Linked DNA regions of Daphnia pulex. The protein of the gene in region 2 interacts with the protein of the main gene of each other region in a pairwise test. Links are inferred from orthologs where the notes say so. Each region holds a gene or a part of one and is shown on either strand. Other genes may lie near its edges. The genes, in order: T-complex protein 1 subunit alpha-like; cell cycle checkpoint protein RAD1-like; calreticulin-like; 3-hydroxyanthranilate 3,4-dioxygenase-like; proteasome subunit beta type-3-like; proliferating cell nuclear antigen-like; PAN2-PAN3 deadenylation complex subunit pan3-like.

Region 1 (3,977 bases), on a different chromosome or scaffold from region 2:
CTAAAACAACGAATTTCTATGTTTAACTCAATCAATTTTCCATTTTTGGACGTAGTCTACCTGATAGTCGTCTCAGTCCAACAATCACGTGTAGCACTTTCCGCTGTTCGCATAGAGTGTGACCACGCCCATGGGTGCAAAGAGATCTAATTCGTGACTTCTACAAGTTAATTATTAAATAGAAAAACAAATATGGAAAGGGCTTTTCAAGGCTAATGTTAACTTACCCTAACCAGCTCATTTAATAGTTTCTATTAAGCAATTAGTTCTGGAAAAAGCTTAATTTTTATTCAGATTGACCGCAGAACTAGAAACAGCTGATAAAATGACGTTAGTTATTTTGTTTGTTCAATCATCTAGTCGTCTAACTGTCCGCATTGGTACGCGTTCTGGTAACTTTGCGTGTTCTTATCTTCGGAATCAAGCTTGATCATATCATCAATACGCAGAATGGTGATAGCGGCCTCTGTAGCGAATTTGAGAGATTTGATCTTTGAGACAGCGGGCTCAAAGACACCGGCTTGACGGTTATCCCTGACAGCACCTTCCATCAAGTCCAACCCGATCCTTGAAAGAAACAGCAATCAATAAAATATTTTAAAACAGATAATCCAAAATGATTTACCATTTCAAATTAGCATGCTCAGGCTTTGACTGCGATGAGTGATGGTAGGAACGCATCTTAGCCACCAGATCAGTTGCGTCTTTAGCAGCGTTGACTGCCAAGGTCTTGGGAATAACCAACAGAGAGTGAGCAAACTCGGCAATCGCCAACTGTTCTCGGGAGCTCTGCATTTTAAAACGAAAAGTCAATCATGTGATCAAATTTTGGCATTCAAAAGTACCACTTACCAATGAAGTAGCGAAGCTCTCCAAATAAATAGAGAGTGCAACTTCGACAGCGCCACCACCAACGACTAGAGTTTTGGATTCTAGAACACGTTTGACGACGCAGAGGGCATCGTGCACCGAGCGTTCCATCTCATCACAGTAGAAGTCGTTGGGACCACGAAGAATGATGGATGCAGCAGTACGCGCTTTGGTTCTAAAAAAAAAAAACAATAAATATGTCAAATGCTAATTCTGATAACATTAGCTTCCACAAATAATTCACCCTTTGATAATAATGAGCTCGTCGTCGCAGATGCGCTCCGTTGAGACTTCAGCGGCCTCACCGATAGAAGAAGCTTCGAAACTTTCATCACCTAAAGAATAAAATATATATAGTTCCGAACATCACTGAAAGGTTGAATAATCAATAATGTAATACCTTCGAGATTGGCCATGGAAGAAAGTAAAGTGGCTCCTGTCGCTTTAGCAATACGCTTCAAGTCAGCTTTCTTGCATCGACGAACAGCCATGGCACCTGCTTCTACGAAATACTGAATAAACAAATAAATGTCAGTTAGCGATTAGACTTCAGATTATATGTACGCTATTTACCTTGAGGCACAAATCGTCAATACCTCCAGTAGCCAAAATAACATTAGCTCCGGCATTGAGGATTTTCTGAATTCTCTCTTTCGTAATATCAGATTCTCGAGCACGGATAGCATCGAGCTTCTCGGGGTCTGTGACGAGAACCTGAACTCCCATTTTCATTTTGGTTTTTTGAAGAGAGAAATCAAGGCATGCAATCTTGGCGTTGGTGATCTTCTTAACCATTGCCTGGGAAGCAACCGAGCAGTTGAGGGCGTAACCAGTGATGAGAAGGCTTTCCCGAGCACTTTTGCCATGAGCCTTAAGAACGTTGATCGCCTTGATTGGATAGATAGCTTGCCCTTTGTTATCTGTAACGCGGACAGCATTGGCAGCGTCAACACACATGGCGGCGAAGAAGTTCGCGTCGGCGCTGATGATTTTGCTCGACATAGATGTCTTGGCGGCATTGATCAAACAGTCCTTTCCAAGCTCCTCGACGCTCAAGGTCAAATTGTCCTGAATGTACTTCACTGCCTCCCTTTAAAACAATCACATGTTTGTCAAATCAAATCACATGTCAAAACAAGAGATTTGTAGGTGATCTTACTTGCAAGCCAGACGATAACCACTGATGACAGAGGTAGGATGGATCTTTTGTTTAACCAATTCATCTGCATTTTTCAGCAACTCAGCTGCAACAATAACCTGCAACAAAAACAGTTTAGACCTTTGAAAGCAAATAAACAATCCAGTACCGAGCAACTAACCACTGAGGTTGTTCCGTCTCCAACTTCTTGGTCTTGCAATTGAGCAAGCTCAACCAACACTTTGGCAGCAGGGTGCTGAACTTCAAGTAGATTTAGGATAGTAGCACCATCATTAGTAATAGTGACATCCTGAAACAACAAAAAAGGGAGGTTACAGAAAATTTTCCTTTGTGTCGAAATATCACAATTTGCATTACCCCAACATCATCGACCAGCATTTTGTCTAGTCCCACAGGGCCAAGAGAGCTTTTGACAATATTGGCGATAGAACTTGCAGCCAAAACTAGGATAATTAAAAACATGTGTTATAAAATGTCAACCGGTACCGGCACTAGGCGTTATAACTCACGGTACAAAGAACAAAATAATTACCATTTTGGGTGCGAACTGAATTGCCCGTGGTACGTTTTCCAGGAAGAGACAGACTTGAGGAGAACATTTTGGTACTTTTTTATGAGACTATTACTAAATCTGTATTAATCAGCTCCTTTCTTTGCTCACACTTCTTGACGTTGTTCGAGCACGCTGCACGTGAAAGATGACGGGCAGAACGTTCTGGCTCTTGGGCTAAATGACTATTGCCACAAGTGAAGTCGAGCTAGTACTATTAAAATGCGACGCCGTCGCAGTCACATGGGGCATTTCATATTTGGTATGCTTTGCAGGTAAATGCAGCATTCTTGAATTTAGGAAATCATTTTCAGCTATATTTAATACATAGATTAATTAGAAAATAAATTAGTAAATAAAATCTTATGGTAAATTTATTTAGGTGCTCGTCTGCCATTTTTTTTTACAATATCATCCATTGATTCCTTTCATTCACTAAAATCCGACCCTCGGGACATTTATTAGCTAGTCGAACGAGAGGCCCATTACGTAGAGCACGCGGTTCGAGAACACGATATGTCAGGCATAAATCAGCATGATATTTTGTAAGCTAACTGAAACTCAGGTGATTTTTTCAAAACTTGAACACCACAGTTGTAGTATTTTCGACTTTAGCTAGATGGTCTATGGATGACTAAATATTATTTTGCTATCTTCATTAAAGTGAATCGACTTCAACTCGGATACAACATTGTGATAGACTCTTCGCCATGGCAGCCATCGACGCAGGACCGAGGAGGCAGCGAGGACTATTCGGACTTTTGTGTGGTACCATCAGTATTAAGAAAAGTATATTGGTAAGTCCCGCAATTCAATATTAAAAGTTGCTGTTCAAACGTATTATTACTTATTGTATATGCCCCATAGCAATAATAACCAACGGATGTTTGTGGTGAATCTCTTTTATAGTGCATCGGGGACAACAGTATTGCAGAGAACGACCCAACGGATCGAAGTGGGGATAACCGGCAGCAGCCGGATATAGAGAATCCACATCCGTCTGTAGACGACCCCAGTACAGATGTGAAGATCCCGTCACCTGTATTGGTCTCCAAGAAGCTTGCCGAAGAAGCTGTGGCCAAGAGACGCAATGTTCGATTTAGACATCAAGCTACCGTGATCGAAGAGGAGGAAGAAAATGGTTTTGAAAATTCCTCGACGGTCGAGGCGAACCAGAAACTTTTAAATGAACATAGTAACAATATAACTTCGACGGATGTGAAATGTAACAGAAGAATCAGGCAAAAGAAAATGGCCCCGGCTCCTCCTCTGCCCGGAATCCTTGGCAATGCTTCTTAATGAGGATAGCCACTTGCCGTTAACTACATTAATATTTATACCAAGTTTATGTCGTTTATAGAAGCCGTTATTAGAGAAATTTTCATAGTTGTTTTGTTC
Region 2 (4,043 bases):
AAATTCAACTGTCTTTTGGGTTCGTTCCATTGGTAATGTGAATCAAATTTTTTACAAATGTAATTTTTAACTTTTGCAGTGGCGTTACTGTATCCGGCTCGAAAACTTGGGAGAACTGTCTGTACAATTACGTGAACGGCACTGGCGTATTTTCAGTCTTTCGGGTACCCTAGAAACGGTTCGAGGAAGAGGAGTAATTGGACAGGTAATTAACGTCAATAACCACCGTTCAAAATTAGAATGTAACATTAAATCGTTCTTAAGGAACCGGTCTTGTCACCCGAACAACCAGCGTTCCAGTATAGCAGCCATATTTCACTACAAGCACCATCAGGGCATATGTGGTAATTTCAAGTTATTTTTCACTATTTATTAAAGAGTACAACAGCCAAGTTCAAATAATTTATTTTTTTTATGAACAGGGGAACGTTTCGAATGGAGAGAGAAGATGGGCACACCTTTGACTGTCGCATCCCTCCCTTTTCATTGGAAAGCAAGAACGAGGATAATAGCTTGCCAACCGGCGTGGTTTAATGGAGTCGTTCATGATAATCATGAAATATGAACAACAACAAACTTTGTACATGAAAGACAACTGCTGGCTTTTTAGTTTTTTCTAAGGTTTTCAAAGATCTTCGTTCTAGAATAATTCTAGGGCATTTTTTTCGTTTTAGTGATGCGGTCAATAATTCGTTCTCGTGGCATTCATTCGTCGTCGTCGAAGTCGACGTCCGCAGGGCACTATAAGAAATCAATTATTAGAGTGTATAAGGGAGAGGACGGTTGTAAAACGTAATTTGACGGATAGAACTTGGAAAAAAAAATGAACTTACGTAAAAATCGATGTAACAGTTGTGGTTGTCTTCTACCTTGATCATGAATTGGAAACATATGAGCCCCGTATCGTCGATTCGTAGCGAAACCTTTTGCGCTATTCCAAGGGGTTTGATGGATGGTTTCATCAAGGAGAGCTTGTATCTAAAGTCAGAAATTGAGCTAATACATCGTGTACGCCTTATTATGTATGTGTATCTATTTCGTACTTAAAGGACACTGCCGAGGTACAACGAAGAGTTTCTATTACATCGCTCTCTTTCGGAATATCGACCTTGAAACCCAAAACGTTTAGAATTAGAACGCGCTTCACTAAAAACTTTACAACGTGATTTACATGATAAGTTCCTGAATGACCAAATGTTGTGATACGAAAATTTGACGAATCAGGTGACAAAGAAAACTGAACAGTATCACTAGTCGAGTCCAACTCACAAAACACCTCTATAAAAACAATAATTATATTAGGAAATTTCTGTCTTCTTTCAACGCTTAATTACCTTTAAGACATTCCGAACTCATAATGATACGACCGATGACGTTAGCCGACCCAAAATCGTAATCCAGGACAGGATCAAAATGAACTGTACGTATCTTGCAGTCAGTGATAACTCCTGATTCTTCCAGCCTGCCAAAAAAAAAAATTATAATTCGAAATAAGTATAAAGAACGATTATTCTTTGTAGTTTTACATACAAGATAGAAACGGGAGTCCCATGGCCGTTATAGTAGAGTTTCAAGGCTGGTGTGCTGCCACTTTGAAGGTTGTTAGAGCCAAATACATTCAAACATTCCAGAAGCACAGTTAAATTAAGCTGAAATTTAATCTCATCTTCTTTAATAACATAACTCTAAATTTCAAAGAGTTAGTAAATTTTGTGAAAATTATTGTTTTTGTGAATTCTTTTTACTTGAAAAACTCCAGGCTCTATAAAGGCATTTAGCTGGACACTTTTCATGTCTTCAACTGTGACTTTTAATCCATCTCTAGTACAGCAAAATACGGAATTCTGAAAGGAAAGCAAAATCACAAGAAGGATGTAATAGGATTAGCTTTTGATCGCTAACAAAACATGTTTTCTCTGTATTACAATTCTTGAAGAATTTACCTCTTTGAAATTTATGGATTTGAGGATATGTGAGATAATTTTTGCATTATCCATACGTATCATCAAGATGTGACTTTGGTCTCCAGACGTGTTTTGAAATGGAAAATTTGGCATGGTGAATGTGGGACTCGTTTGCTCTTTAATGTTGTGGGAGTAGTTTTGAGAATTATGCAAAGGGTTCCTAAAGGATCATCCTGAAATGATCAGTGAAAAAATGTTCTGGTTAATAAGGCTAGGATTTTTTACAGAAAAATGTACTGCACAAAAAATGAACCGACCCAACTGTTACATCCAAGAGAACTATGATTCGAGACGAATTATTCTAGTTTTGACTGAATTCAAAATCTGGTTGTGTTTATCACAATCAACTATACAGCACAATCAAATTTGTTGGATTTAAAAAGTGCTAAACTGTCTGCAATGGAATGGAAGTAAAAATTTCAAGTTTTAATCTCGAGACGACGAAAAAGCCTACCGGCTTATTGATTCAAACAGGAAAATATTGTTATTATTAAACAGAAAGTCAGAAACATTGCGGCGTTGTACAACGCGAGAAAACAACAGTTTAGAGATGGGGAATTCGAAAATGAGCACGCCCATTGGTCGTATGCGACCATTGCGCCACCTAGAAATGTTTTGGCTTCCAAACATAGTTTTCAACTGATTAAGGCAGCGGGAAATGAATTTAAATGTAAAAGTCATGAAAAGATGAAATTTTAAATAAAAATACATAAAAGCAGTAAAGGACGAATGAAAAAAGAACCAAGTTGATGGCTGTTGATGGTTCGGAGCGAGGGAGAAAACTTGCCGCCAGTATCGTTGTTGTAGCGGTCGACGCGTGTACTCAGTTCGGTACCGCCTTAGTTGGCGGTGTTGAAGGGGAGCAGTTCTCTTTCACGTGCGAGGAGCAACGTGATAACAGATACAAGACAAAAAACAGCCCAAACGTCTTTTTCGGTGCTGAGACTTAAACCGTGAAGTGAAGTGTAATTCTTTTGTGGCTAAGTATGTGTGCAATCGAGTTTCGATTGTTTGATTTACCGGCATTTATAACCCAGTAATTCGGCACGTAGACTACTCGGCAAGCAGCAATAGTAGTAGCTTCGGCGCCCCCAAGAAAACCTAAAGGCAAAAATCGGTGACGCCCATTTTGGTGACGTCATCGCTGGGACACGTGTAGCCTGGTGCCTCGCTTGAAGTGCGTAGTTTTTCTCGATAATATTATCTTGTGATGTAGTGTTAGTTTTCAAACGTCACTTTGGCGATCAGAGTGACTTTGGTTTTTCGACTAAATGCAGTATCTTTTGCCGATTTAATTCTTGTCGCATTTAGTTTAGACATTAAAAGCAAGCAAACAAAGAGGCATTTTCCTCTTGTTAAAAGTTTTCTTTTGATAGACTATAGAGAGCTCATTCAAGGCCGCCAGCCTCAGGCCAAAATGAAACGAGTACTGAAACCCAAAAGCGAATGACCCTGTGTGCGTGCGTCTGTGTGAATTTTTATTTTTTTTTTCATTTGATATTGATGCAATGTGGATCCTGGATGTCATCGTTGTTGTTCAATGCTGTTACACTGTTGACTAAAACTGTTTGTGTCTTCTTGACCCACAGGTCTAACACTCAGCGGCTGGTGGTTGTCCAACAATGAGTTTGGAGATTCTCCTGGAAGCCGCTCTATTTGTAGAGCGACAGACCCAAGGTAATTGCTTTGCACAAGTTTAATCTAGTCCCCGTTCCCTCCTAGAAACAAGCAGGATTGCTCATACTGACATCAGTTTGTGCATGCAAAGTCTTTATAATATCAGACTGCTTAGAAGCTCGTGCACCCCCAGTCTTGAATTTCTCGAGCTCTGCAGAGCCAAAGGTTGTGAATCAGTTCCCTATTGTGTTTGGTGTTGGAGGATATGAGCTCATCAATCTTTTGGTTTTCTGGCCTTTGAATCTGTAATTGCCCCCGCCAGGTGCCTCTGTTGGAGCGTGTCTTTTTTATTTTATTTCTTCTTCTTCCCCAACGTCACACTACGGTCATCGAGAATGTCGACATCGATTGTTGACCTCGATCTCTACGAAGTTAGAGCCTGCGCATTGGCATTTTGACGTT
Region 3 (4,276 bases), on a different chromosome or scaffold from region 2:
GTACCCATTTTTTCTCGTTTTCCAAACACACACTTCCCTGAGTAGCCACAGTGAAAACATCATCGGTCTCATATTATCGTTTATCTGCGATTACTTAGGGTTAAATTGGCACGACGTAGTAGGTCCGCAATATCAAAAGTTGAGCATTCCGTGCATTGATTATTTGGCAGGAAAAAGTTTATATTAGTTGTTAAAGAAAGAATGCATTCGTTTTTGCGTTTTTCTCGGTTGTTGTGCGTTATCGTCCTCTCCCCTTCTGAATGTTGTTGCACGTGAAAATCACCTCAATTTCCCTAATTGCTATTCGAAGACGAATTGGCAGCAAACAAAACCTTATTATGTATATAATTAAAAATTAATTGGTGTTCACACATGGCAGGATAAGAATAAGGAAAAAGAAAACCGGACTTAGAAGCGCGACCTCACAAAAATAACATCGATATACAAAAAAAAAGAAAAAATATTTGGTCCATTTTGCAGTGTTTCCTCCCCTCCCCCTTTTAATACCAAATTCTCATGATTGCAAAACCCCAAATTTACATGTAATCTTCTAATTAATTGTCCTCTCTCTCTCTCTTTTTCTCTCTTTTTGATTGTAACATTATTATTCTATGTGTGTTTTCTCGGTTGTTAAACGGTTCGTTTTTTATTATCCCCCCCTTTCGTCGGATATGATGTTTTCATGAATATACGGTTGTATAAGCGTTACGATTGCTTGTGGTTGATTACGTGTCGATTTTGGTCACTTGTCTACGTAGTAAGAATCCCCTCCAATTGGGATGTAACGCGCGTCTTATCCCTCGGTACGTGGTCCAATCTAATCGCAAGACAACACCCCCCGAGCTATACGTCACATGGCTGTATGAACATGTGGGAATATATGGTATCCCAACTTTTATTGAAAGGGAGAATCGGAGAGATATTCTATTTACGACACGTCATCGATATTGAGATTCCATATGGGCATGTCAGATTACCAATTTTGATTACCTGAAAATGCATACAGGAAATGCTTGTCAAACTCAATATAACAATATCAGGATTGTTTAATAGTCCACAGAAAAGAATTTGGCCGTGAATGAAAAAAATGCGCATTAACAATAGAATACATAAAGTTCATGAGAATTAAATTAAAACGCGTTTTCATAGATGACCGGATAATACGAAAACTGGAATAAACGTGGAAAATTGAACGCCTGCCAGACGGCGCAATTTGATTGGTACACGACAGTCACGTGACGGCCAGAGAAAAACGTGAGTTCGTGAATGAGATGAGCAACTCTCTAGAAGATTCTACCCCGATGATTTGCGCGCCACCTAACGATGAGCTCTCGGTAGCCTGGGGAATCTTCCCGGGCCTTCATATGCAACACCGGCTAGTAGCCCCTCTATCGCTAGGTAGCAGGTCGATCGGATACCACCCACCAAGTGGCTCATCTCTCTGGCTCTAGTGTGACAAACCGACCAATGAGAGCATTACGGGTGTTATCCACCTTCCCATTCCCTTTCCGTAAAAACTTCTCCTGAGTAAAGGAGAGTCATCACGTCAGTTTGTCTCACTCGTCTGTCCTGGTCACTCGTTCATCGTCTTCAATCACATTCATTTGTACAAATGAAAGCTTTAGCATTATTAATCGCCTTGATCGGCGTTGTTGCGGCCGAAGTCTTCCTCGACGAGCGATTCTCAGATGGAGGTAAGAAAAAGATTCATAAAGTATTTCCCTTTTTTCCCGATATCTGGTTGATGGTGGAGAGGGTTACTTGTCAAGGGTAGCAGGGGAGTCTTTTTCTAGAAATTTCGTCAGCTTACAACAGGAGGCTGTGTAACACGTAAAACAAATATTCTAGCTATTTTTAACATATCTGCCATTTTCACACGCAAGCACTTTGCATGCCAAAGCCAAATGCTTGATATCGTTGTAATGCACGAATTATTTGGACGTGGCAATATGAATTTCACTTTTAATGCCACTAAAAAAGAGTTTAATTACAATCAAGTTGATCATCTGTTTTCATCGCTGCCATGCGGAATTAAAACGACGTGAACGAGAGTTTGCGGACGACAAAAAAATTTGAAGGTTAAAAATAATTAGAAAACGATCCTAACATTTTCCGATTAGTAACAAGAGAAATAGAAATTATGATAAAAGCCAAGTGAACTAGAGATAACAGGAAAAAGTTCTTCACCTTCAAACTGAAGTTGATGACGTTTAGCGTGCCACGACCTCTACCCGGCTTTTTCGATTTGTCGAGTTCATGTGTGGCATTTGGTGACGTGTACGTCTTATCTTGTTCTTTTCAGCTGCCTGGGAGAAAAGGTGGATCCAGTCGACCAACAAAGGTGAAACAGCAGGCAAATTTGTTCTCACTCACGGCAAATTCTACGGTGATGCTGAAAAAGATTTGGGTAAGGATTAATCTGGATTTTATAAATTATTTTGGATGATAGTTGATGACATGAATTGCTCTTAATAGGTATCCAGACTTCCCAAGATGCCAGGTTTTATGGCCTTTCCACTAAGTTCAAGCCCTTCAGCAACAAGGATAAGCCACTAGTCCTCCAATTCACCGTCAAACATGAACAAAACATTGACTGTGGAGGTGGCTATGTCAAGCTGTTTGACTGCAGTTTGCAGCAAGATGATATGCATGGAGACTCTCCATACCTTATCATGTTTGGTAAGTTTTATTAATAGTTTGTTGATATAGTAGCTGAAATAACCCCCAAATCCTGTCACAGGCCCTGACATTTGCGGTCCCTCCAACAAGAAAGTCCACGTCATCTTCAACTACAAGGGAAAGAACCATCTCATCAAGAAAGAGATCAGACCCAAGGATGATGTTTACACTCACTTGTACACACTCATCGTTAAGCCAGATCAGACCTACGAAGTAAGTCCATTATTAATTGCTCACCTTTCACACTGTTTATTCATTGGACTGTTTGTCTTCTTCCACAGGTTTTGATTGATAACGAGAAAGTTGAGTCTGGTGATTTGGAAAGTGACTGGGATTTCCTGCCTGCCAAGACCATCAAAGACCCCGAAGCCAAGAAACCCGAAGATTGGGATGACCGTGCCAAGATCGATGATCCTGAAGATGTCAAGCCCGCCGACTGGGATGTTCCTGAACACATTGCCGACCCCGAGGCCAAGAAGCCCGAAGATTGGGATGATGAGATGGATGGTGAATGGGAGCCTGCTATGATCGACAACCCTGCCTTCAAGGGAGAGTGGAAACCCAAGCAGATCGACAACCCCGCTTACAAAGTATGTATAACTATTTAAAAATGTTGATGGGAGGCTTTGTCTTTATAAAACTTTTTTGCTTAATCGCAGGGTGTCTGGGTCCACCCAGAAATCGATAACCCCGAGTACGCCCCCGATGCCACCATTGGTAAATACGACGAATCCTGCATCATTGGTTTCGATTTGTGGCAAGTAAAGGCTGGCACCATCTTCGACAATGTCCTCGTCACCGACGATGTTGCGGAAGCCAAAAAGGTAATAATACAAATTAGACTTTTAATGGTTGTTTGTACAGAAAGTAATTCTAAATTTTTCATTAGATTGGTGATGAGCTGTGGACTGCCACCAGCAAAGCCGAGAAGAAAATGAAGGAAGCTCAGGAAGAGGAAGAACGGAAGAAGATGGAAGAAGAGGCCAAGTCAAAGAAAGAAGACAACGAGGATGAAGATGACGAAGATGAAGACGATGCCGAGCCCAGCAAACCTGCTGCACCCGCTGAAGAAGCCGAAGCCGACAACGCAGACCACGATGAGTTGTAAAATGCAAAAATAACAAACACACACAAGGAAGAGCTGACAGAAAACTTAGGTTCCACCAAAAAAAAAACAATACAACAAAAAAATTTATATAATTTAATCAGCTGTTCCATCTTTATATCGGCGGTTAATAAGTTGTCACAATTCAACAGAGGTATTAAAATCTGATGCATCTCGGTTCCAATAATCTTTAAAAAAACAAAAAAGCTGAGGAATTCTAGCTCAAGACAAAAAAATAATTTTGGAACTGAAATTGAAAAAGAATTTAGACTGTTATATTGCTTCCCGTTTCTTTGTAGTCTTGTTTTTTTTTCTCTCCCCCCTCATACGGTGTTGTTTTGTAATTCGTCTATTTGAATGAAGGTTTTTTTTTTTCAATTTAAACCATGGCGTCACATCATCCCTCTTTTTATACAAAATGAGCTCGAGGCGCCCGTTTAATTCCTACTTTTTTTTAAATACATTGCCGATTCCCCTATCTGGGGAGTGAGT
Region 4 (3,202 bases), on a different chromosome or scaffold from region 2:
TTTTAAATTACCTGTGCTGCAACAGCACCAATACCATACTTGGTCTTTGAATTTCGAATATTAAAACCAAAGTCAACACTCACATTAACACTGCGTCTCATTGCTTGTAAAAAAACAAAAACTTTCAATAGATCGGGTTGCTAATTGATATTAGCAGGACGGGGTCGGTTTTATTTAAGAACGAATTGCCAAATTGAGAAAAATCGTGAACTAAAATGTTCAACCAATCAGTTTTCTTCTTTCACATTAGGTAATGAATTCAGTATTTAAGTAATTGGTTGAAATTAATATTTCTCATATATGGGGAGGAGGTACACATAGTAGAGTACGCCCTTTGTACTATGAGACCCAAATTCATAAACTTACAAGATGTGGAATTTAATGGGCTTGAACCAATGACAATCTCCTCATAAGGCGAGGCTGATAACCACAATGCCATACACTGCTGCAATTCAAACGCATATTTAAGGCCATATTTAAACCATAAAACAAATCCATTGTTTAATGAAATGCATTTGATATTTATTGCTTTACTAATACATTTAGTATATAGTTAGTCCCTACTAAAAAAACTACCTTTCAATATACTGACTGTGTTGGTTGTTTGGCATTAAATATTTCCATTTGGCGTGGGCATGGCTACTGACATAAGGAAACACGAATCGGCATCACGCATCAATTGGTACTCTTCTCCAGCCGGAATCAAAAGACTATCGTCGGATTTGAGGGTAATGTCTTGTCCGTTTAATTTCACAACGGATTCACCTTCCTGTTGAAATGACGTAAAATTTCATTAGAGAATGAATTAAAAATCAATTTTACGATAATTTACCAATTGCCACAACCAAATTTCATGTTGAATCGCTTTAAACTCATCGACTCCTTTGCCATAAATAATGACGTCCGATTTGTATTTGGCGCCATCAAACAAATTCTTCTTGCCATTTTGGTGGATTTCAGTGCCATAAGATTGGAGCCACTCTTTCAAGTTGAAAGGATTTTCCAATTGGAGTTGGCCATCTGGATGAAAATGAGGATTCTCCGGAATCGTTCCCGGTACAGGACGTCCTGTTTTGCATTGCTCCGAGGCGAAAAACTCTTTGATGACTGGAACAAGTTGAACTCCAAGATCGTCGCAATAAAACCACCTCTCAAACAGCGACTCGGTCGAATCGTTTACAAAATACCTACAATAATATTCACTTAAAAATATTAATCCTTCTAGAGAAATATTTTGATTACAGATTTTACCTGAGGCAATCCAATTCTTGTTTCGCTCTTTCTCTCTCGACTACCAACCCGATCGTGTCATCTTTCCTCTGAGGCGAATGCGGAATCTTTCCCGGAAGTAAAAATACCTTACAAAAAATTACAAATACATTAACAGAAAAATAGAAAACATATGAAATAATTTCACTTACTTGCCCTTCTTGAATGGCAACCGTTTTGAAAGCTCCTTGTTCCTGAACAATCAACTCCATCGAACCCTTTTTCATGTAGAATAACTCTTCACCTTCTTCAATATGGAAATCTTTACGCTGATTGGGCCCTCCGACAAAGAAGACTTTCAACTGTTTCTCATGCCTATTAAATAAAATTTGACAGTCAATAAAAAGATGATTTGTAAAAATACTTTGATTTACTCACATGAGTTTGTTGCAAACAGGTGGTAAGAAAGAAGCTTTGTTGTCTTCAATCCATTGATTAATGTTGCACAATTGAATGCTCATTTTGAACAACTTACTGCACACACTCTGCCCGGCTGTGTGCTAAGAAACGACTAAGACGCTTTTCCAAAAACAAAATTTTCCCTTGGCAGAAACGGCGGCCCTGAAAAGGTTTTTCTCCATAAACATCGTCAAGGTTAAGATGAGAAAAATGTATAACGGAACAATAGCCCAAGGACTTTTTGCTTCATCCATGTACGGACACCTTCAAAATGCGCGGGTATTTGAAATTTCTAATGAAAAATAAGATAATTTGTCGATTGGCAAACGTTGTAACGTCGACGTCGACTTATAACCATAGAAATTCGACTGAGTAAGTCATTAGCAGTCATGGGGTTCGGACGTTTTGAAATCGTGATTGAGAATCGCAATGGAATTTTCTATCCAGGACAATCGGTGAATGGAACTGTGCACGTTACCAACAGCAAAGTCGAAAGTCTGAAAGGTAAATTAATTGTTACAAAATTTGTGTCAACATTTTGTCGAATGAAAAATGTCGGTAGGAATTCAAATCGAATGCAGCGGCTTGGCAGAGGTTCGTATTCCCGTGAAAAATGACAAGAACACGGAATTTCGCTGCTCAAATGAACAGTATTTCGATTTCAAGTTCTGCCTCTACAATCCTGGTAAAACATTTGGTCATTTGTTGACAAGTTGAATTGTATTATTCACGTCTTATTAAATATAGGCAACCAGGTTATCGAGCTGAGCGTCGGTCGTCATCAATATCCATTCACTTTTGTTCTACCAACACAAATTCCCCCATCGTTCGAAGGATCTTTTGGGCATATTCGCTACACTATCCGTTCTGTCGCTCAACGTCCGTGGCTCAAACGCGACTACGCATGCCAGACTAGTCTCATCGTCGGTTCCATCGTCGATCTCAATACGTTGCCAGCGGCTGTGGTATGAAAAACATTGACATTTGGATCAAAAGTATAAGTAACATTTCCTCTGTCTCTAGCTACCGGTCAAAAAGATGAAATCAAAAAGACTTGGATGTTTTTGTTGCACCTCTAATCCCATTACAGCGCATGCAAAGATCGAACGTGCTGGATACACTCCGGGAGAGACGATCTTATTGAAAGCAGACACAGATAATGAAAGTGGAATATCCCTTAGAGGTTCTAAAGCGCAATTTATCCAGGTACGCCCTTAGGTTAAAAAAACTATTCGTACATTTTAATTAAAATTTGTCTTAATTTTTGTCAGATTACCAAGTTCATTGCCGCGGGGGAAACGAATTCAGACACCAAAGTCCTACAAGTCTACAGCCATGAACGTTTTACTGAGGCTGACATTATGGAGGCGCAATTCCTTGTTCCTCAACTTCCTCCATCTACCCTACCATTTTGCGGGATTATTGACGTGTCCTACCAAATCCAGGTGATCTCAAAACAGTTAAATACTAAACTGAATAATTTGTATAACCTAAAATTGTTCGTGAACAGTACATCGTCGATCCTGGTGCACTT
Region 5 (2,725 bases), about 3.5 Mb from region 2:
GAAATGGATGGTTCCCTGATGGAAGGAGAAGGAAATACTATGACCTCCTTGGATGGTAAACTACTAGTTATTACGTTAATTTCGTTAAGTTACTACATCGAATTTTATTTATTCTAAAGATGAAATTGAAGATTCCATGCAAGCCACCCCTCGCGTTCGTCGTAGCTCTCAGGTTGCTAAAGCTCAGGATACTAGCAAGGACGTGGCTAATTGTTTTGGATTCGACGACGATGAAGATGACGAAGAAGATGAGGAGGAGGAAGATGAAAAGTGAAATTCATGTTGCCTATGAACGTCATTAGTGTTTTCGAAAGCATTGTGTAAACTGTTTTTCTGAACGGGAAGTTTTCGGTTGGAAATTTGGACGAAAAAAAGAAAAGTGCGAGTACATTTTTGCCGACAAGTATCTCTTTTTGAAGCGTCTTTGAAAACGTTGGATTCTTCTGTTTTCCTTTTCTGTCCATTGTAATTGGCTTGATGCAAACAATACACACTATAACTGAATTTTTTAAATGGTGTATGATCAGTTCCAAAATACATTGATAATGAAAGTAAAAATTTCAATCCATCCTGGTCTTGAGCATCCTAGTTGTCACTTTGTCTTTTTCACTGTAAAAGAAAACATTATTAGCACAAAACACAAATTTATGAAAAAATTAACTTACATGATGTGAACAACACCTCCCCATCCAGAAATAGCATCTCTATCAAATGCATTCATTAGTGCCTGGCTGATGGTTTCAAAAAGATCATCAGGTTCTAGGTTTGGTTCCCACAAGGCTTCACACATTCCAAAGAGTTGTTCAGCACATGTTCCAGCTACAACAAAATCTTCAGGCATGTTAGGACAACCAATAAGATCCATGGCAGAAATAAATGGTTCCCAGGTAACCGGATCAAGCCCTAAAACAGACATTCAGAAAAATAAAATATAATTACCACATTTTAACCAAGAGGCCATTAAAGAACTAACCTGCAATGACAGGCTCAACAAAGTAAGGTCCAAAGCGTCTCTCATACAAAAGATTGGACACCATAGCAGAAAATGTTTGTGGTTTGATTTTACGGCTTTCTCTGAGCTCATAGAGATTGAGACGGAAGCGAAGTCTTTCATGGACCGTCAAAGTATCAGTTGCTAAGCCAGGAAGACCAATGTAGAGATGGGGACCCATTTCAAACATTCTCTGAAAATCCATAGCCAATGTGGAAGTTTGGACTCCAAAACGACGATCAGAGGCAATTGCCACGCATCCCTTGCCTTTCATTGCAAGAACACATCCACCATTGTATGATAGAATAGACTAAGAATAAAGTAAGAATGAGACATACACACACATTAAAAACTTGAATAAATAAGTGGATTTACCATATTGTCAGTTTCAATGATCAGCTACCGAATGTTTCGTTAGGTAGTAATGAACACAAATTTTTCAATTTTCGCTTGTCACTTCAGTACGACTGCAGCGCGCACAATCCCGAACGGCAAACCGGTAAAATCCATCTATTGACTTTATGAGCAACTACATCGATAAAATTTTAATTTAAAAAAAAATCATCAAAAACAACCAAAGATTTTTTATAACTTTATAAATTTTCTAGATTTACACGTCTTCTTCATTTTGGAGCGTTAGTTAAAGTTTGTTCTCTTACGTTTCCCCTCCTCCCTCTTAAATTTACCATTTTGGTAACCATAGAAACACGGACATTCCTTAAACATAACAAAGAATTCTAGGTTCAGGCGTTCAGGTTTCGATTTTGGTTATGAAAAATAGCTGTTGACATTTTCTTTTTCAAATACTATATCTCAGAAAATACAATAATTTCACTCAGCTTATTCTTCAGTGTATTGATAGGTAACATGAAAACAAACTGGCTTCTAGAATTTCATTTTGTGCGTGGGGACTTTATATTGTGTAAGAAAATTATAGAAGATTTGTCAAAAAAGAATGGAAATCGTCCGACCGAGTTCTCTACATATATCCTAGTATAATTTACTTGACATGGTAAGAGACTAAGACTCATTTTTTTAAATGTCTGTTTCTTTAATAAATTATGAAGGCACGAATGTACTATGCGGAGGGAAAAATCCAAGAGGCGATTCAACTGTTTCAAACGTGTTATGCTCAAAATCCGAATAATTCCGGAACGCTACAAGAAATCGCAAAATGTTTGTAAGTTTCTGCAAAACCAAGATAACAATTTTGAATTATTTATTTAAAATGTGTTTTTAGAATTGCGCAAGGTCGCTACAAAAAAGCGATTGAAGCACTCACGCATGCGAAACTTTTGGCGAAACAACCCGATTTTTTAATTCTGTATGACTTAGCTTGCTGCAATGCCAACCTCAAGCAATATGATTTGGCTGAAGAAAGTTGCAGAGAAGCCTTAAGAATTTGTAAAAGCAAAGCCGTCTATAAACTGCTTGCCGCTTGCCTTATTCATCAAAACAAAATTGGAGACGCTATTGAAGTTTTTCGCTTATCATTGAGGTCAATATAAAAATTACTTGAGTTATGATATTTATTATATTCACAACAGCTAACGCGAATATGTAAGTAGACTATTTCCCAAGAGCAGTCAACTTTATACCACTTTTGGTAAACTGTGTGCGGATATGAATTTCGACGATGACGCATTAAAAACTCTGAAAGCGGCAATTAAATTAAATGACAACAACGTTGTCGCATTAAACGAACTGGCGGTATTACATCAGGTATTTTCTCAT
Region 6 (2,949 bases), on a different chromosome or scaffold from region 2:
CAACTGTAAAATGTCAATGTTTGCAGTCCTTTCTATATTCCTTCTTCGATGAATAATAACCCTCAATTTCCGATGCTTCGATCTAGGAGCTCGACATTGCTGCTGCCGAATGAAATAGTGTCATCACTCTATTATTTCACTTTTCAGCAAGTCTCACGTTCTTTTTTTTTTAAATATTGGTAAGAGCTCCTACCAATGATTATCATGTTTATCGCAAAAAGAACAAGTCCAGAAAATACAAAATGAAATGTTGTTTTGTTTTTAATTTTTAACCTTACCTCCTAAAATTCAGAATTTTAACGATAGATTAATTTAGTAACTCGCTACAATGGACTCGTCAAACTGTAAATCGAACTTCGCTTATTTACTGAACTTGGCAATAGGTAATGAGTGGGGCAGAATATCTTCTGGACACCGCTCGCAGACGCGGAGACCGTGTTGCTATAATGAATGGCTTCAATAAAAGCCTGAAACGAAAATTAGTTAAGACAACACGGAAATTAGGAATACAAAAAGTGTATGATTTTTAATGACATCATAGAACTTAGGTGCGCCAGTGGTGATCTTATACAAAAATTAGGCAGCTTCTTCGTCTTCAATTTTAGGGGCTAGGTAATAACGGACGTGGCCGATATCTTCGATTTTATACTCGACGACCAGGGGAACTTCAGGGGACATAGAAAGCTGAACGGATTTCGAAAGGGAGGTGGCTTTCGTGAAAGAGTTGAGGTATCGGCAAGCAAATGTCAAAGAGACGGGCTCCTGCATCTCAATGACGACAGCCTCTTCTTCTTTGTCAACCTTGGCAGACTGGGCAAGCTTGATGTTGCCAGTACCAATATCTCCTGTTGCTGAAAACCTTACACCCTCTTTGGTGCAGGAAATGACCATAGATTCTCCAAATTGACTCAAGTCTCTGCAAATTCTGGCAAATTCACTAGATGGCAGCCTAATGGTGCATGCATAGTCAGTTTCCTAAAAAAAAAAAAAAATATGGAATTATAAACCAGTTTGCTATTAGGGGAAATAAAGTAGAAATTAAAGCTCAATTACAGGGATGCCCAAATGTTCCTGATCAAGGTTCATCAGCTTCATCTCATAGTCTGAAACTTTATCTTGCTCTGGGGACTCGAAGACAAATGTAACAGTATCAGCATTGTCCTGGGCTTTGATCGTAATGATATCTTCATTGGAAGCACACTTAAGGATCTTGGACATGCTGTAAAATCAACAGACTGTTAAGAAATTTTCGTTAAATACAATTTTGTTATGAATCATACCTTCCCAAATTCATGCCCATTGACAAGTTACGATCACATCTGTACTTGTCAAATCCCTCAGCTCTCAGATTGAGAGAGACGAGGCTGACATGGGAATTGTCCATGGCTTGGAGTTGGATACCGGCATCAGAACAATCCCAGGCTGCTTCGTTCAACAAATCCTTCAATGCTTCCATAACTTTCTTCAACAAAGAACCCTGAAGAAGACGTGCCTCAAACATGATGATGATAAAATGATGTAAATAAGAATTGACAATGAAACACGTAGTAACAACGATGAAGCAGCAAATGACGTAGCAGGAATGTGTACGCTCAACTCAACGCTTCCAAGTACTCAACAATGACTGAGTGCAGACTGCCGCCGTGGTTTTCGCGGCAAAATCATCGCCATCTGACGCACGATTCTGATTGGACGATTTTGATCATGTGATATATAAATGCCTCAAGGTTGGAGGGAAAAATTCGAATCTTTTGTCTGTTTCCAGATCTAGTGACAGTGGCAATGATGCACACAATGGCTAATACTAAAGGATATGTGAGTGTCATAGAGATTTTGAAACTAGTTACTTTAACAGAAAAATGTTGAATTCCAGGAATACTTAACACAAATCTATTACAATACAAAGTCTCGAATCGAGGAGTAATACATGGGAAATTATTTTACAATTGATCAAATAATTAGCTCATTTACAGGTGGACACGCATCAACGTATACAATGATTTCAACTCATAAGACAACATAGTGTAATTCAGGCTATTTAAACCCTCGGCGGCATGAATAATTTTGTTCTTTTTCATGGTTACAAAGCGGTTAGGATTGGGAACCTCTTTTTCGTGTCTAAGCATTTTATATTTCGCAACATTTTTTTCAAATCGTACCACGCCAAGTTCAGCTTGAGACACACGAAAGTAAAGGTCATCATCCTCTCCTCCCCATCCATAAAACAAGTTGGAAAACCCGTTGATACTTTGGAAATGTTGAGTTGTCATTGCCACAGCACTACAGAAAAAAAAAAAAAAAAAAAAAAACAGGGAGCATGATGAAATGCAGAAAAATAGATAAAATTAAATTCAAACTTTACCCGCCAAAGATTCCACAATAAGGTAGCTCATAATCGAAGGTATCTACAGCTGAGGACAAATGGCGAGGCATCTTTGTGCAGGCATAGATATTATTCAGGCTCAAGGGAATGAGATCGACCTATGAAAACAAATATATCTCTCGGTGATCCAATAATTCATGAGAAACAAATTACGTCATGGAATATGTAGCAATCGGATGGAAAACGTTTCTGGCTCTCAACAAATCCAACGTTAAATAGCTTTCCACGATTGAATTGCATTTCCGGGCTTTGTTCGACGACGATAATCCGGTAGTCGATTTCCTGTAACTGTAAATACCGATGCAAATAATGAAGGAAGACACGTAGTTGTTCTGGACGTCGCCTGTAGGGAACGACGATATTGACGCGATATTTTGAGAAACAATCAACAGGCTTTGAAGCGCCACCGATAGCAATATTTTTCGATGAATTGGTGAAAGTTTTCAGCACAATATCACTAATGTTCAGGTTTAATTCGATTCCTTCCGAAGAAAGTTGGCGCTCGTACAGATGAAAGCAAAAATTGCCGTTAATTGGTTGGCTTCCTAACTCACGAGGTGAAAGAT
Region 7 (4,169 bases), on a different chromosome or scaffold from region 2:
TAATACACTTCAATTCTTTCTCAAATTATGAAGTCCTTACTTTGTCATGAGAAGCAGTATCTAGTCGATTGAGACATGCGACAATGTGGGCCAAATCGACCCATGGTCGTCCATCATCCGTACAAGGATGTAACATGTAGTCGCGAAATAATTTAAGCAAATATCGGTCTCCCGTTTCTGACCATGTCGAATCCAAATTTAACCTTAAACATTCAATAAAGTTTACTTCGATAGGTAACTAGACTAACTTAACCAATTTAATTTGCCTTACTCTGGACGATCAACAACGGTTCCCAATTTTCCAAGCAAACGAAATAACCGGCCATTATCCAATTCTCTGGCTAGCTGATCTTCTAGATAGTCGGCATGCAGAGTGGCGGCTTCTAACTGGCTGAAAAACCTTGCTCCAATCATTGGCATCACTTCCTGTATGTTTTTCGATCTTGAACCTTGCGTAGTGGAGAGCAGATACCTAACGAAATCATAGTTCAGTGGGCAGTTTTACAGAGTATAGATAGTTCTAACCCAGATTGCAGTTTTTAACGTATCTACATATAATATTAAAAAATACTCACATCACCAAATTGCGCAGATCTGAAGAATAATTTTTATTGATGATATCCATAGATGTAGAGACATTATCCCTTTGAAGTGCCAACAACGAATTACAAGCCAGGGCAAGAATAAGTTTACCCAAGGCCAAAAGGTCTTCTTGCTTCATTTTTAGTCATAAATGATGACAGTTAAACATCAACTATATAACAATAAGTATGTTACAAAAGGAAAATTTTACATACCTGATAATGAGGAAGCAAAGCTGTGATGTTGGAAGAACTAGAGTCATAGGTAAGTACATCAAAAATTCCACCACCGCACAAACGCAAACGGCCTCTTGAAGTTATAAGTACTTTAGATGGATCTAATGCTCTTACAGCCAAACCAGCAGAATGTACTGATCTCAACGCCGAGCACAATTCGATTATGTAACTCCAAAGTAAAGATTCAGGTAACACACCTTGCAAAAACGCGGAGGCATCAAAAATAAAATAAAATACTCAATAAAATAATAATGATAATGAAAACACAAAAACAACCTTTGCCAGCTTGTTGCTGCAGCATTCTGTTTTTCTGCATTGTATATGGACGCGGAGCAGATGGGTCACTGCTGAATGGATCAAGGTGTGGAGCAGTCGAAGCCAAATACTTAGTCATAAGTGTTTCAGCTCCAGGGTAATAATCATATGCAAAAACTATAGAATGGTCACCGAAGGCCTTGGTAGTGAATGCTTCTCGCAAAGTCACTAAATGACACTGCTGCACTTTCCTCCATAACTCTACCATTGACATACATTTAGCACTTGTCACTCTGTAACCTAAAGATATTATAAACAATAATAATACTCCAATAAATCTCAATACTTCTTTTTTGTAAGGTTATATATTAGGTAAGAAGATTCAGTTTAAAGTTTTTATTCATTTAAATATTACCATGAATCCTTTTCAAGCAATATCTCATGCCGGTTCTGCTATTTGATGCTTTATATGTAGATGTAATTAAGCCATAAGTGTTAGACTTGACAGCATGATTCAAAGTGTGGGTTTCAAGGGGGACCAACTCATGATAGTGATCAACTTCCGTTGGCAAATCTAATTAAAAGAATGTATGCAATTTAGATACTTCATAAAGTTAATGTATGTTTGTAATAAAATTGATTGCTACAATCAAACAGCTCAGATAAAGTGTTTCTTAAATAATAAAATATAAACTTAGGACATGAAATAAGTTGGCTATACCTGGAAACAAAGCAGGGTCTGATATAGATAATGCAACTGAATTTCTTTGAAGTAAGTCAGCTCTTATATCTTCATTCATAAAAAAAGAAGATCTCTGCTGACCACTACAGCTCTGTAAAAAACTGGAAGGTCCACTATAAACTGAGTACATCTGATTTTGTGATGTTGAGACCAATTGATTTGGTGATTGAATTCTTCTATTTAAAAGAGAAGTGTGAGACATTTTTTCAGTAATTTGACTGTGTTTTCCAATTATTGGTTCTTCTACAGTGGGTTTCACATTTTCATCTGGCGTGTAGTAATAAGTGGTACCTCCAACATTTTCCTGAGTTGTGCAAAACAACTTATTAGATACAACAATAGATTACAATGAACAGAACACACATACCTCAAAAAGGGACGAATTAGAACCTCCAGCTATTTGCAAATCTGGTGATATGGGTAACTCTTGTGATTTCTGCACGTATTCATCTTTAATTAAAATTGCAGAATTAGACAACGGAATTGTGTTTACATTCTTCCCAAATGATTGATGTAAGCAATTACTCTCTATAACTGACAAACTAAACTCTGTCGAATTTGAAGCAGTGGAACTGACTGAGCGAACTGGAGATGAAAATGAATTCAATGGAAATGTAGGTGAAACGCTTGATCGAGAAACTGAGTTGTGCAAAAACTGACAATCATTTCCATAAAAACAAGTTCCAGAGGCGGCAAAATAGCGACACACAACAGGCTTACGTGAATGGCTAATTATATCGTCCATCATAAACCTTTTTAAGACAATTCTCTGTCCAGGCCAATAACGACCAAACCAATATTAAGATTCTGCCCCTCAGAGTCAAACACTATTCGCAAATGATATACACTGATACACTTTACAATGTACAGAAGACTATAACAATGAAGAGAATGTAATTTCTACGAAAAATAATATAGGCCTATTTCCTATTCGTCGAGCTCGACAAACCAACAAACCACTTCAACGATTAGCAGTTGTTTTATTCAACAGAGGGCGAAAAGTACCATTTACTTGACCATACTGACTGCATGCTGTTGCTGGCTGACTGATGCTGTACTGCTTGGTTGAAGCCGAGTGCCACGAAAGATGTCGTAGCATGATGGACACAAATGAAGGCGTACTTGATGGACTTCATGCACAACCGGCACCATGACCTGCACAACCGTCAAAACTTTCTATTACCACGACATCTATCGTGGGAATAATAAATCGATGATCGCAGGTTGCCTGAAAGTTTATTGAGCAGTTGGACGGTTGCAACCAGTTTCGCCACTTTTTTTCCGCCCCAGTTTCGTCGAGTTCGGCACCACTTTTTTCCGTTTCAGCAGAGTTATAGATGTATGGTAGAACCATTTATAAGGAAAGGCCTTCCATTGCCTTTTCCTCCTGGAAGTGTTCTGGCTGGAGACCTTAGTTACAGAGCCACAGCGGGTGTGTTGGGAAACATATTTTTTTTCCAGTACTAAAATTAAAAAAGATTCAGTAGATGGCCGCTGGCGCTGACAATTAGGTCTAAATCGATACGTAAGCACATATTTCCACTTTCGATTCGCGATATTGGCTGCAACTTTAGAAAAAAATTTTTAGAGGAAAATTTTACAGGCAGTGGTTCTACCATCATCTATAGCTCTGGTTTCAACACTGTATTTGTCTGTTTGCACCACTGCCGTATTGATAGCTTGCTTTGGCCTCATAAAGTTTGGTCAGCTTAATGCAGCAGGTAATTCTCACATTTTAAAATTAATACAATATTTCAAAATTAACTGCGTCAGCGGCATGGCCTTTTTGCTTCCTCGAGCTCCGGAAGCTTTGCCTTACTTTGCGATAGGGGCGGTCCTGAAGGGGGAGAACTACTGGGAAATGCTTCCGGAGCTCGCCGAAAGGAGCAGCGCAGTCGAATTCGTCGTCTGAAGAGGGGGAGGGGGCAAAATGTCGACTGCTGGACTTTACACAGAGTGGCCCATCTCCTTATCACTGCTAGCGACTGGATATTGGATCCAGAAGTGTTTGGAAAGAATGATCAGTTATGGCCAACTAATATTGATCTTTTTGCGTTGCCCTGGAATAGAGTGGTTCGAGGATGCCATCTTGGATGGGACATTTCCCAGTTTGGTGCAACCTCAAACCAAAAACCATTGACATTGTCCATAAGAAAGTGTACGAATTGAAAGACAAAGGGAGAGAGAAAAAAAGAGGGACCGACCCCTTTCTTTCCCACTCCATTCTTCCCTTCCTTGACTGTCCTTCTTTTCGTACCCTTTTCTTATGGACAACGTCAATGCTTTTGGGTTGTGGTTGCACCAAATTGGGAAAAGTCCCATCCAAGATGGCAACCTTCCTTCAACCCCCACCA

What was found.
Region 1: the proteins of cell cycle checkpoint protein RAD1-like (region 2) and T-complex protein 1 subunit alpha-like interact in a two-hybrid assay, tested with the Caenorhabditis elegans proteins (2 studies listed by BioGRID). The link is inferred for Daphnia pulex from reciprocal best matches to the Caenorhabditis elegans genes mrt-2 and cct-1.
Region 3: the proteins of cell cycle checkpoint protein RAD1-like (region 2) and calreticulin-like interact in a two-hybrid assay, tested with the Caenorhabditis elegans proteins (2 studies listed by BioGRID). The link is inferred for Daphnia pulex from reciprocal best matches to the Caenorhabditis elegans genes mrt-2 and crt-1.
Region 4: the proteins of cell cycle checkpoint protein RAD1-like (region 2) and 3-hydroxyanthranilate 3,4-dioxygenase-like interact in a two-hybrid assay, tested with the Caenorhabditis elegans proteins (2 studies listed by BioGRID). The link is inferred for Daphnia pulex from reciprocal best matches to the Caenorhabditis elegans genes mrt-2 and haao-1.
Region 5: the proteins of cell cycle checkpoint protein RAD1-like (region 2) and proteasome subunit beta type-3-like interact in a two-hybrid assay, tested with the Caenorhabditis elegans proteins (2 studies listed by BioGRID). The link is inferred for Daphnia pulex from reciprocal best matches to the Caenorhabditis elegans genes mrt-2 and pbs-3.
Region 6: the proteins of cell cycle checkpoint protein RAD1-like (region 2) and proliferating cell nuclear antigen-like interact in binary tests that used the Caenorhabditis elegans proteins (3 or more experiments, as listed by UniProt). The link is inferred for Daphnia pulex from reciprocal best matches to the Caenorhabditis elegans genes mrt-2 and pcn-1.
Region 7: the proteins of cell cycle checkpoint protein RAD1-like (region 2) and PAN2-PAN3 deadenylation complex subunit pan3-like interact in a two-hybrid assay, tested with the Caenorhabditis elegans proteins (2 studies listed by BioGRID). The link is inferred for Daphnia pulex from reciprocal best matches to the Caenorhabditis elegans genes mrt-2 and panl-3.

What each region holds. Positions count from the first base shown.
Region 1 is NC_060022.1:2,033,944-2,037,920, forward strand, and holds the start of T-complex protein 1 subunit alpha-like, read right to left. Parts: upstream 2,801-3,977; 5' UTR 2,629-2,800; coding exon 2,562-2,628; intron 2,473-2,561; coding exon 2,387-2,472; intron 2,319-2,386; coding exon 2,190-2,318; intron 2,128-2,189; coding exon 2,030-2,127; intron 1,961-2,029; coding exon 1,444-1,960; intron 1,383-1,443; coding exon 1,271-1,382; intron 1,206-1,270; coding exon 1,115-1,205; intron 1,046-1,114; coding exon 853-1,045; intron 790-852; coding exon 626-789; intron 568-625; coding exon 357-567; 3' UTR 1-356. Other genes in the region: uncharacterized protein LOC124195433, read left to right, coding at 3,096-3,124, 3,244-3,376, 3,489-3,878. UniProt on the Caenorhabditis elegans protein: Molecular chaperone; assists the folding of proteins upon ATP hydrolysis. Known to play a role, in vitro, in the folding of actin and tubulin.
Region 2 is NC_060028.1:2,685,039-2,689,081, reverse strand, and holds cell cycle checkpoint protein RAD1-like, read right to left. Parts: upstream 2,801-4,043; 5' UTR 2,674-2,800; exon of another isoform or gene 2,222-2,673; intron 2,163-2,221; exon of another isoform or gene 2,138-2,162; 5' UTR 2,058-2,137; coding exon 1,944-2,057; intron 1,845-1,943; coding exon 1,746-1,844; intron 1,686-1,745; coding exon 1,531-1,685; intron 1,463-1,530; coding exon 1,335-1,462; intron 1,279-1,334; coding exon 1,172-1,278; intron 1,109-1,171; coding exon 1,044-1,108; intron 1,019-1,043; exon of another isoform or gene 979-1,018; coding exon 759-978; 3' UTR 742-758; coding exon of another isoform or gene 706-741; 3' UTR 535-705; coding exon of another isoform or gene 423-534; 3' UTR 390-422; downstream 1-389. Other genes in the region: polymerase delta-interacting protein 2-like, read left to right, coding at 1-19, 80-205, 265-344, 423-534. UniProt on the Caenorhabditis elegans protein: May be a component of the 9-1-1 cell-cycle checkpoint response complex that plays a major role in DNA repair. Promotes DNA double strand break-induced cell cycle arrest and apoptosis, thereby playing a role in genome stability.
Region 3 is NC_060026.1:14,047,033-14,051,308, reverse strand, and holds calreticulin-like, read left to right. Parts: upstream 1-1,476; 5' UTR 1,477-1,612; coding exon 1,613-1,694; intron 1,695-2,302; coding exon 2,303-2,407; intron 2,408-2,475; coding exon 2,476-2,679; intron 2,680-2,740; coding exon 2,741-2,892; intron 2,893-2,960; coding exon 2,961-3,269; intron 3,270-3,338; coding exon 3,339-3,503; intron 3,504-3,568; coding exon 3,569-3,787; 3' UTR 3,788-3,884; downstream 3,885-4,276. UniProt on the Caenorhabditis elegans protein: Molecular calcium-binding chaperone promoting folding, oligomeric assembly and quality control in the endoplasmic reticulum (ER) via the calreticulin/calnexin cycle.
Region 4 is NC_060026.1:16,211,941-16,215,142, forward strand, and holds 3-hydroxyanthranilate 3,4-dioxygenase-like, read right to left. Parts: upstream 2,018-3,202; 5' UTR 1,731-2,017; coding exon 1,648-1,730; intron 1,585-1,647; coding exon 1,422-1,584; intron 1,359-1,421; coding exon 1,252-1,358; intron 1,188-1,251; coding exon 833-1,187; intron 770-832; coding exon 611-769; 3' UTR 501-610; downstream 1-500. Other genes in the region: arrestin domain-containing protein 17-like, read left to right, coding at 2,058-2,172, 2,231-2,353, 2,416-2,633, 2,692-2,874, 2,940-3,113, 3,179-3,202. UniProt on the Caenorhabditis elegans protein: Catalyzes the oxidative ring opening of 3-hydroxyanthranilate to 2-amino-3-carboxymuconate semialdehyde, which spontaneously cyclizes to quinolinate.
Region 5 is NC_060028.1:6,178,896-6,181,620, forward strand, and holds proteasome subunit beta type-3-like, read right to left. Parts: upstream 1,501-2,725; 5' UTR 1,370-1,500; coding exon 1,367-1,369; intron 1,302-1,366; coding exon 974-1,301; intron 904-973; coding exon 666-903; intron 610-665; coding exon 561-609; 3' UTR 501-560; downstream 1-500. Other genes in the region: transcriptional repressor CTCFL-like, read left to right, coding at 1-55, 120-274; Bardet-Biedl syndrome 4 protein-like, read left to right, coding at 1,859-1,984, 2,059-2,171, 2,232-2,489, 2,560-2,713. UniProt on the Caenorhabditis elegans protein: Non-catalytic component of the proteasome, a multicatalytic proteinase complex which is characterized by its ability to cleave peptides with Arg, Phe, Tyr, Leu, and Glu adjacent to the leaving group at neutral or slightly basic pH.
Region 6 is NC_060019.1:11,504,121-11,507,069, forward strand, and holds proliferating cell nuclear antigen-like, read right to left. Parts: upstream 1,634-2,949; 5' UTR 1,502-1,633; coding exon 1,281-1,501; intron 1,220-1,280; coding exon 1,054-1,219; intron 976-1,053; coding exon 577-975; 3' UTR 501-576; downstream 1-500. Other genes in the region: beta-1,4-N-acetylgalactosaminyltransferase bre-4-like, read right to left, coding at 1,968-2,280, 2,363-2,481, 2,537-2,928. UniProt on the Caenorhabditis elegans protein: This protein is an auxiliary protein of DNA polymerase delta and is involved in the control of eukaryotic DNA replication by increasing the polymerase's processibility during elongation of the leading strand.
Region 7 is NC_060025.1:5,199,312-5,203,480, forward strand, and holds the start of PAN2-PAN3 deadenylation complex subunit pan3-like, read right to left. Parts: upstream 2,801-4,169; 5' UTR 2,564-2,800; coding exon 2,183-2,563; intron 2,120-2,182; coding exon 1,795-2,119; intron 1,648-1,794; coding exon 1,489-1,647; intron 1,374-1,488; coding exon 1,095-1,373; intron 1,016-1,094; coding exon 798-1,015; intron 716-797; coding exon 576-715; intron 473-575; coding exon 272-472; intron 204-271; coding exon 41-203; intron 1-40. UniProt on the Caenorhabditis elegans protein: Regulatory subunit of the poly(A)-nuclease (PAN) deadenylation complex, one of two cytoplasmic mRNA deadenylases involved in general and miRNA-mediated mRNA turnover.